Caenorhabditis elegans: one gene and its partner. The protein of the gene in region 1 interacts with the protein of each later gene in a pairwise test. Each region holds a gene or a part of one and is shown in the gene's direction. Other genes may lie near its edges.

Region 1 (3,502 bases):
GTTTTATGTTTAGTATTTTATGCAACGAAGTCAGTTCAGATACTGAATTCATCACTCTTCCTCCCCCTTTTCCCTCGAAGCCTTATTCCAAAACCCATTCAGATTATGCGTGTCGCTGTGAATATCATTGAAACAATTGAAATAAAGATATTACCGATTATCTAGAAGTTTGATATGAGTTCTCCAAAAGAAAAGTACCAGGTCTCGCATCGACAGATTTCATTAATTCCGAAAAAACGTGCGCCTTTGTGGAGTACTGTAGTTACGGAATTATTTCGATTTTTCCTGGTTTTTCGCCAGTTTCTTAAAAATTTATTGTTTTTGTAAATATATTTTTCAAAGAAACGGGTGAAAGTTTATGGAACATAAATAAAATCCTACAACAACGAGGAGTTGGGAACTACAGTACTTCTTAAAAGCGCACTTGAGAAAAACAATCGCTTCGAGACCAGGTATCGTATTTTTGAGGCAGGAATCGCGAAATTGTTCAAAACCTCGCAATTAATTAAAAATCAATTTCTCGGGACATTATGAAATAAAATAATTTTTATGAAATAAAATTGTTTGAAAATTTATGGAACATCAGATAAAATCCTGCAACAACGAGAAGTTTGGAACTACAGTACTCCTCAAAGGCGCAGACCCGTTTGCATTTATTGATAAATTTGTCGTGTCGAGACCGGCTACCTTGTTATTGGCTGTATAATAAGCATGATCTTTCAAGCCGGTTACTCCTGCAGTATCAAAACCATCCATCAGCCACAAGAAAGCGGACTTACAAAGGAACAAAATTGACAGAAAGCTAAGAAACTGAAGAAAGAAGAAGAAGGTGCTTATTGAATTAAAATTCTTTATTTATTTATATATATATTTATTTATTTATATATAAATTATAGTTTTAACAAAAACATTTCAGTTATCAATCCCGAATTTTACTAGGGAGAAGACTAGGTGAGGACAACGAATTTGGGCCGGTGTACGGAGCACCTACCAACAACAGAGGAGAACTTATTGCTGTTGAGAAAACAATTGAGAAAGTAATTAACATTAAAAAACAACAAAAAACGAGCTAAGAAAAACTATTTATTGGGCACAAAAGGCCAAAGAAAGTTGCATTTCTGTTGGCTACTGGCTCTTCTAGTGTCGATCATCTTATGGTCCAAGGTAGCACGATTGGTCAGTGCGGGCCTTGAAGACCTGTCCACCTGGGTTGGTGTTTCCTCCGGAACCCTGGTTCTGCTGTTGTTGTCCACCACCATTTCCTCCTTGTGCATAGTCTTCGCGGGCATATCCCGACGACGAGGCATTGGATCCCATGTAGCCTGATCCATAGCCTCCAGCGCCCATGTAAGCCGACTTGTCCGCCATCGTTGTCTTTCGTTTGGGGTTATTCAGAGAAACTTGCTCAGAATACTGATTGACTGAGGTTTTCTGCCCCGTTATATAAGGAAAGATCTAGGACAAAGATAAGAATATTCCACGGAAAGTTCACGCCGTCTACATGAACTTTTCAAATTTGGAAATTTCTTTTAAAATTAAAAAGGATGAAAAAATAAGTAATTGAAAATAATTAATAAATCCAGTGACATTCTAAAATAAATAATTTAATCTTTATTATTTATTCTCACGTGTTTCCTTATTCAAAAATTCATTGCTTACAACAAAGTATTCAAAAGGCGCCGGTTGTTCATTGAGCTCTAAAAGGTGAGTATCCTCGAAATGGTTGGGAAGATGTTTCTCTCGGGCAAGTGGAGGCTGAACGAAGATCTTCCAATCTGTGGCATGCTCTGATGTTCAACTTTTAGCCATTTGCTCAAAATTAGCAGGCTATACGCTTCGTGAGATTTTTGGAGAGCCATACGTAACTATATTTGCTAAACTTTTTGGAGTTAAGCTACAGTACTCGCAGATACGGTGGATGAGAAGGTGCCACTCTTTTTATGACTTGTTTTGGTGCTAATTTAGTACTACTTCAGACTAAGAGGCCTCAATTAGGTGCGCGTTCAGCGAGTCTCGCCACGATCACAGTCGAAGTTCTCAAAATTATCCGTATTTCAGAGAAACAAAGGGCATAAAAGGAAAATGGCTGATGACAACGTCTCATTCACGGATGCAGGTGACCCAACACAAGGTGCTAAACCTCAAGGAGGCTCATCAGCAATGCTGGATCTGCTCGGAGCACTGGACAAGAAGGAAGAGAAGAAGAAGAAGGATAAGAAGGGCAAAAAAGGAAAGAAGTCGAAAGGAAAGTCAAAGACCAAGAAAGTCAGAAAGGCCGACAAGTTCGAATCGCAGAACTTCTTGTTTCGAATCGAGGGAACCATCTTTTGTGCTGGAATCGGTGAGTTGGATGGCCAAGTCTGCAGGCACGAGAATGCCTATCAGCTTGCCTAGAAGGTGTACGGAAAGTTCCTTGTAGGCACTCAGGCAGGCAACATTGTACCTACACCTAAGGTTTCAATTATACAATTATATTTTTCAGTTGTCGGATTGGTGGTGCTGCTCGTCTTCATCGCAGTTGCAATCTTCTTTAGCGTGAAGGCTGGAGGAAACATGGTGCACTACATTCATCCATGGTGGGGAGGACTTGAGGAATCTTCTGCGAATTGAGAGATGAACCAAAAGAAACGACAAAATGACAAGCCGGCTTATTTTTAAAAGTGTCAATTCTATTTGACACTATTCAATAAAGTATTTATTTATGGCTCGTTCTTTTTTTTGTTATAGTACTCAGTCATGCCGTTACGGCGAAGGCCTAAATGTCTACTGCTAAATGCTCTAAATGATCTGCCTAATAGTTTTCTAATCGAATGAATACCAATATTTCCTCGGCTATCTCTTATGTGACTACATCATGTCTAAATCATGCTGACACACGATCCTGCCTCATGTCTTCATTTCCACATAGCTTCCCCTACATCACACCTGCACCATTTCCACGGTTTTACCTACTTGTGTGACTGCCTGCATACCTGCTTTTCAAAAAACACAAATCCGAAAATAAACTGGATCCCGGCCACCCAAAGTTTAGTCCTATTCAACCAATTTTCTTTTCATTTTCCCGAATGCCTGCCTACCTCCCTGTCTTTTGCCTGCCTACTGTTTTTGGAAAAATCGAACCAAGTTGTCCACAAAAGTTTCTCCGACTGGTAGAATAAAACATTTTATTGCTAATCAATTTTCACTTTTAAAAATATGACAGTTCAAAAATATATTTTAAAACCTGTAAAAATTACAGTTTAAAGTGTGAACTTCATATTTTACGAGAAGGAAAAAATTAACACCTTTCGGCATAGGCAGGCAGGCAAATGTAATTTAACAGTCAGACAATTCTTTCAATCTTTATTACAATTGCATACAAAAAGGTAAAATGTATGTATGTACATCTAAGTACAGTAATCGCGTGTAGTAACAAAGTGACTCGCATGTTGAGGTGTTGTGGAGCCTTGTAAGCCAACTCGTGGACTCCTCCATTGTACAGCTTGGCAACGATTCCAGAACG
Region 2 (7,321 bases), 7.5 Mb from region 1:
TAGTTTTTTGAGTGCAAATTTCAACAATATTTTCAATCTTACATGAAATAACCGTCTGAAAATAAAAATTGAAAAATTATAAAGTCCCTATTTTTATCGAAAGTTTATGAAAAAAAGAATATGAAACATTATTTTTCCTACGTTACTGGTGTCCCCCGGAAACTTGTGATTTTAAAAGCCTTGGCATCTATACAGGGGTGGGCCGCGAAAGATTTTTTCCGGCAAATCAGCAGATCGGCAAATTACCGGAATTGAAAATTTCCGGCAAATCGGCAAACCGGCTAATTGCCGATTTGCCGACTTTGCTGTAAATTTTCGGCAAATTGTGGGTTTGCACATTTTTTTTTGGAAATTTAAAAATTTCAAATTTGATCGGAAAAATTGCACTCATCCTAGGAATGCTCATACATCTATTTTTAGAAGTAGACAATTCTATGAAAATATCTAAAGAAAACGGGAAAACATTTCACAAAGGCACAGTTTTAAGGGTTTCCGTCTTACATAAAATTCCTCTAAACATTTCCGACAAATTGATAACCGGAAAACGGCAAATGGGCAAATTGCCGAAATTGAAGACTTCTGGCAAATCGGCAATTTACCGAAATGAAAACATCCGGCAAACCGGCAAACCGGCAGATTGCCGGATTTGAATATTTCCGGCAAATCTGCAAACCGGCACTTTGCTGAAAATAAAAATTTCCGGCAAATCGGCGAATTGCCGGATTTGAACATTACCGGCAAATCTGCAAACCGGCACTTTGCTGAAAATAAAAATTTCCGGCAAATCGGCACATTGCCGGATTTGAACATTACCGGCAAATCTGCAAACCGGCAATTTGCCGAATTTGTCGACGAAATATTTGCCGAACGGCAATTGCCGCCTTTCCCTGGTTTATACCTCCAAAAATTGAATAATCTGCTATAAGTTATGGTGATGATTGTTATAAACACATATAATTATATAATACACAAAATAATTGGAATGTATTTTTTTAATCCTTATACATATACATATATCCATAAGCCATCCTCTTTTTATATCTAATCAGGGCTTAACTTCTCTTGCACTATTCCCCTTCAATCTTCCTCTCTCCACATAATTCTTCGTCGTCATACAATTCCCCATCATCTCCTCACTCTTTTGCCCAATTGCCCCGCCCGTAAACCAATCATCGTTCGAGTCGACGAGACACTGTGGTGAAAGAAGAGGGTCGGGGAGGTGTGACTGTGAGTTTGAGTGGGGGTGAGCGTGCGCGCATCACACACTCTCCACTGCGACTCGCATTGATTGATTTGGTCACTCGCACTTTTTTGTTTGCTGTTTTCGTTTTTTATTTTTTTAAAATTATTTTAGTGTTTTGATCGAAAATATAATGTGAAAATTAAAGTATTTAAAATTTTATTTTAAAACCATTTTGGTTAAAATTTAGTTTTCTTTTCAAATTTAGGCTACCGGTATCTAAAAGTTTTCTGCGAATTTCTGTGAGATACGAGTTTTTATTGTGAAGATCGGGCATAACTTTTTGGAGTGTCTGAAAGTTGAATTGACAGTTTTTTTTTTAGAAAAGAAACATTTCCAGAATTTTATTGATTTTTTTGTGTAAAAAATCTACCTCTACTTATTTAAAAATTTATTTTCCTTGTGTAATCATTTTTGAAACAAAATCCCAAGTACCATACACCCCCCCCCCCCCCCCCCACTATACGAGCAATCGCGCTCCATCACGAATCTTGACGCTCCCCTCTCAGCGGGAGATTGTTTTATTGAATTTCACTGCAACATACATTTAAATTAATTTTTTCAAAAGAAATGAGTTCAAACTTGACCAGTAATGAGATGTCATCAACATCTGCAATTGTAGAGCCCCCGGAGGCTGTGAAGGGAAATGAAAGGGATAAGGTATAGTTTACAAATTTTTAAAAATAAAAATAATCGTTTCTCCACTACTTTTACACAAAACAAATGATTTATACCCAGCTCAATATTTTTTTAAACTATTTTTTATATTTTATCAAATGTTGCCCAGTTATTTTCCAATGAGATATAGGGGTTAAAAAAAAAGAAACAAATTTAGTAATTATCAACTTCAAAACCCTCTAACTTGCCGGAAAATAGAGATATGGAAAAATTGTTAACTAACACTTTGGAGTACCAAAATTTATCTACATTTTATTAGTTGACAATTTTTTGATAGCTAACCGTCCCAATAAGTTACAATAGTTTTAAAACTTTCAGTCCACTCGACGATCGACATCTCAAGTGGTTCGACCGGAAAAGCACGAAGTTGAAAATGCATTGGAAGGTGAGTATTTTTCAAATATATTATAGAAAAATTAATAATTGCAATTTTGGTGCTCAAGTTATAATATAAACTCCGTTTTGGCAAATTGCCAATTTTCAAAAAACCCCAATTTCCGAATTTCTCGGAAATTTACCAAAATTTTGTAGTTTTTTAAAGCTCTACTAGACCTTCAATTTTTGAAACTTGCTTACAATTAGTGAAAATAATAATTTTTCAGATCAATGCTCATCAAGCAGCTTACCAAAAGAAGCTCAATATTATGCAAAACTCGACAAAAAGCTAGAGGGCAAAGACCCCCGATCTCAGTTCTACGAAGCGGTACGCCTGTCCGCCGACATTTTTGCTCATAAATTCGAAAAAGCCGTGTGCTCCCGCCAAACGTTCGAGCCGACCAACTCCATCATCAAAGTGCTCAACACTGCCGAGGAGGAGATGCTCCACGAGAAGGTTGTCCCACTACCAGTCAGCTCAAAGCTCCAATACTATCTCAACCGGGGACGTTATGATACGATATTCGATCGTGATGAGCAATTGCAAAGGACTGCTGACCCGATGGCCGACGAGCCGGATCATGTGGAGAAGCGGGTGACGAGCATTTTGGAGCAAGCTTCTCGAGAGATGGAAGAAGGGGAAGTCGAGCCGGTGTTCTATGATGGATCTGATGAGGATCAGGAACTTCCGATTGATCTAGGAGCTATGAGAAATCTGCAAAGGTAGGCACTAGAGCTTCAGAACAAAAAATTAATTAGCAAATATATTATTCCCAAAAGCAAAAAGCCCAAAAAGCGCATACATTTAACCAATTTGTGGGTGGTTTTTTATACGCATAAAGCTACGTTCAGGCCGTTTTTCAGGCCGTTTTCAGGCGTTTAGAATTCTTGAACTAAGAAAAAAAATAGATATTAAAGAATGTCGTGGGATGATTGTTAATGATAACAAAACTCAATATTGCAATATGAAACGGACAATAAGCAATATCTGAGTCATGGCGGAAGGGAAAAAAGTGCGATATTTCGCACAACTATCATATGGCCTGGCTTCCAGATTTTGATCATATCAGTCTTTTCCGTGGTCTCATTACGGTTTGATCTACAAAAAATGTAGGAATTTTTTGCTCAAAAATATGTGACGTCAGCACGTTCTTAACGATACAAAATCGGTTGAGAACTCTGCGTCTCTTCTCCCGCATTTTTTGTAGATCTACGTAGATCAAAGTCTTTGAAATTTTTGAGCTTAAATTTCCCTACACTTTATCAAGATAACAAACGCGCCCTATTGCCAACTTCTCGCACACCGACGCCGCCAAGTTTGAAGGTGATAGGGGGGGAGAGTGAGAGGGTGCCAGAGATTCATGTAAACATGGAACGATGTATGTTTTCCCAGCAGTGTGTGACCTTGTGTGTATGTTTTTTGTCGCGCGTTATATCAATTTTTGTTAGCAATGTTTCAATTTTCTGTGATAACAATCAATCAACTGTTTTCAGAACCAACAAGTTCGCGGCTCGCTCGAGCAGAATGGCAGCTCGGAGGGGAGGACGGCCCGGCTATCGTGGTGCTTTCAGAGGTGCAGCTCGCGGAGCACCTTCTAGAAGACCTGCACCAGCTGCAGAGGTGGCTCCAGAGACTCCAGTAGCGGCTCCGATGGCTCCAGCGGCTCCAGCAGCTCCTGCAACACCTGAAGCAGCTCCGGCAGCAGAAGTTATGGACACATCAATTGCCACAGAGATGCCTCAAGAGTCGGCTGTGGATCTGTCAAATGTGTCGGCGGCTACCGAGATGGATACATCTAAAGAAGGAGAAGCGTCCAGACCGACTAGCGAGAAAAAAAAGGTAAGCTTTTTGAAGGCTCGTATCTCGGACGGTTTTTGTTTTTTCGAAAAATTCTTAACTAACAAAATAATTACCGCATTTTTTTACAATTTCGTAGTTGAGTATTTGTTGATAACTTAAATTGGAGCAATTTATAAGCTTTACTTTGGCAACTCGTAACTGAATCTCTAATGCATATTTTCTATTTATTTTTTATTTTAAATTATAGAAAAATTAATTCTAAACATTTTTGCAGTTTTCAAAATTTTTATAAGACAAAAACCAATTGAGATATAAACTTTCAAAGCTGAAATTTGCTCTAAAAATTGAAAAAAGGTTCTAAAAAAAAGGTTCGTGAACAAATTAAAATTTTTTCTCAAAGTTTCAGAAAATCCGCACAACCGAAATGGACCGTCTTATGAGCATGGACTTGGGACCCAAGGATGGTGGCCGAGTCGGCGAACTCGGCCACATGTGGCCCGAATCACGCCGTCGTCCTGCTGCACCCCTACCAGAGACACCTGCTGCTCAACCGAGAAAGTCTCTGCCAAGGCGAGCCGCCGAGAAGAAGAAGCCTGAAGATTCGGACGCCGCTGAGGAGCAGGAGGTTGAGATGGAGGTGGATAACGACGCGAGCACATCTACTCCAAGAAATGCACGTGGAGGTAGAGGTGGTGGCAATAGACGAGGATCGAGAAGAGGTCAGAAGAGGACATCTGGAGGATCGGGGAAGCTCGTGGAGCCAAAGAAAGAGCCGGTCGACGAGCCAGCCGAGAAAATCCCAAAAAGATCCGAGGCAGCTCCAGAAGTTCCAGCTACTGCCACAACCAAAGAAGCCCCACCATCCACCTCCAGCTCCCCACCGGATGCTCCAGCTACCCCAGCCACTCCAGCTTCATCCGACTCTCGGGATTCCCCACGAAAGATCCGGGCGATGATTTTCTCGCTTACCGGATCCCCACCAGAGTCTGAAACTCCGCCAGTTCTGCAGCAAGAGCAGGTGATCTCCACAGCAGCACCGACAGCCGGTCGCCATCCAAACATCATTCAGCAGGTCCCGCACATCAATCGGATCCCGCCACAACCGCTGAGACGTCTCACAGCTCCTCAGGCTCCACCAGCATCCCAGCCAGAAGAGCCTCCAGTTCAGCAGACTGTTCCGGTGGTTAAAGTCGAATTGGCTTCAGCTCCAGCTCCAATCGTCAGGGATCCACAGTCAACGGAGCCAGTTCCACCTGCGATGCCTACACTTGTCGAGGTAACCATTTTCAGAATATGACGACTAATTTTTAATTACAATTTTCTTCAGAACAACCACGAAGCTACGCTCATTTTGCCGCCCAACAAGACATCAGACTACACAAGGTGGAACGTAAGTTTTTTAAGGCTCAGGCTTAGGCTTAGGCTTAGGTGTAGGCTTAGGCTTAGGCGTAGGCTTAGGCTCTGGTTTGGGCTTAGGTTTCAGCTTAAGCATAGGCTCAGGCTCAAGTTCAGGTTCAGATCTAGGCTTAGGCTTAGGCTTAGTATTAGGCATAGGTTAGCCTTAGGCTCTCTCTCTCTCTCAGGTTTAGGCTCTGGTTTAAGCATAGGTTCAGGCTTAGTCTCAGGCTTAGCCTGAGGCTTAAGCGTAGGCTTAGACTTTTGGCTTAGGCTTAAGCTCAGGTTTAGGTTTTGGCTTAGACTTTGGCTCAGGCTTAAGCTCAGGTTTAGACTTAGGCTCAGGCTTAGACCTAGGCTTAGGCTCAGCATTAGGCTTAGGCTTAGGTTTAGGCTTAAGCTTAGGCTTAGGCTTAGGCTTAGGCTCAGGTTTAAGCATAGGTTCAGGCTTAGGCTCAGGCTTAGGCTCTGGATTTCGACTTAACACATTCTAAAACAATTATGCTTCAGGCGCAAGATCTCATCAACTGGGTTCGGCTTCTCATCACCAACAACGTGGATTCCACTATTGCAATTATGGTTCGCGAGGAGTTTGACGGAGAAACGCTGGCCTGTCTTGTGTTGGACGATGATTTTCGAAAAGAGGTACCAATTCCATATGGTCATTATAAGAAGATGAAGATCTATGGGACTGAGGTGCTCAACCATTATCGTACGGAAAAGTATCAAGCTGATTTGAGAAAGTTCCATGAGGAGTTGGCTGCCTGGAAGGCTCAGCAGCGTTAACTCTGTTAATTTTTTTATGTTAATTTTAATGTTAAAATTAATATTTTTGTTGTTTTTTCTGACATTTCAAGCTCTTGCATATTGACTCCTACCGCTTTACCCATTCCTCGTTACCTAATTTGGACCTACTTAGATGATAGAAAACTTTCAGCAGTTTTCTAATTTTTAATAATTTTAATTTTTTGTAAGTTGATTGCAATTTCTTTAACTATTAAATTCCCCTTTGATACTCACAGAGACATGTTTTATATTCTATAATCAATCGATTTTTGTCATAATACCCGTTTTACCCTTATTTTTTCTGTTCACGTTTGCCCTCATGATTAAATGTTTTTCGAGTTTTTTAAATGTTAATGACATTTTGTATATGAAAAGTTAAAAAATATTCATTTCTGGTTTCCACAAAGCGAACGATACACAAAAATGTTAAAGAACGCTGTGAATGCAATGAAAAATGTGAGATTTTTAATTAAAAAATCTCTTACCGGCTGAGCACACGTGGCTCAGTGGGTAACAGGCTTGACTGGCAAGCAGGAGGCCACTGGTTCAAGTCCACCGACCTCCACCGACGTCAGGAATCGAACCTGTGATCTTTTCCCTTAAAGCTGAGCCTCTTACCGGCTGAGCCACTGGCCGCACAGCACCGCAAAAAATTGTCGGCATGGCTCAGTGGGTAACGAGCTTGACTTGCAAACAGAAGGCCACTGGTTCGAGTCCTTGAACTGAAGTAAACATTTTCAGATCGGAAAATCTCGATCGAGAAGTGCAAGTCGCGAGAAGGTGCTCAAAGACTCGGCCGTACAAGCTTCACCATCATCCCGTGAAGCCGTCCAAGTCGTCAAGGCAATCGCCCAACCAGTCGTCGAACAAAAATAAATATTCTCACGTTTTTTATTACTCTAAAAGAAAATGGGTTCACAGGGCTATCAGTAGAGCGCATATCAGATTTTTGGTCGAAATTTGAGAGAGATTTGTACTCGGGATAACGGGCACAACGGGTAGGGTGGTAGGATATGGAATAAATATTTTGTTGGAACTGTACAAGA

What was found.
Region 2: the proteins of F11G11.4 (region 1) and sop-2 interact in a two-hybrid assay, tested with the Caenorhabditis elegans proteins (one large-scale study listed by BioGRID).

The regions. Positions count from the first base shown.
Region 1 is NC_003280.10:4,858,993-4,862,494, forward strand, and holds F11G11.4 (uncharacterized protein), read left to right. Parts: upstream 1-1,601; 5' UTR 1,602-1,704; intron 1,705-2,058; 5' UTR 2,059-2,082; coding exon 2,083-2,341; intron 2,342-2,482; coding exon 2,483-2,610; 3' UTR 2,611-2,704; downstream 2,705-3,502. Other genes in the region: nspd-5 (Nematode Specific Peptide family, group D), read right to left, coding at 1,153-1,368; Putative thiosulfate sulfurtransferase mpst-4, read right to left, coding at 3,346-3,502.
Region 2 is NC_003280.10:12,338,136-12,345,456, forward strand, and holds sop-2 (Polycomb protein sop-2), read left to right. Parts: upstream 1-1,808; 5' UTR 1,809-1,810; coding exon 1,811-1,900; intron 1,901-2,236; coding exon 2,237-2,303; intron 2,304-2,520; coding exon 2,521-3,016; intron 3,017-3,787; coding exon 3,788-4,133; intron 4,134-4,494; coding exon 4,495-5,370; intron 5,371-5,421; coding exon 5,422-5,484; intron 5,485-5,499; exon of another isoform or gene 5,500-5,553; intron 5,554-5,999; coding exon 6,000-6,275; 3' UTR 6,276-6,660; downstream 6,661-7,321. Other genes in the region: C44C11.6 (Transcriptional regulator), read left to right, coding at 6,699-6,731, 7,017-7,151. UniProt on the Caenorhabditis elegans protein: Polycomb group (PcG) protein. PcG proteins act by forming multiprotein complexes, which are required to maintain the transcriptionally repressive state of homeotic genes throughout development.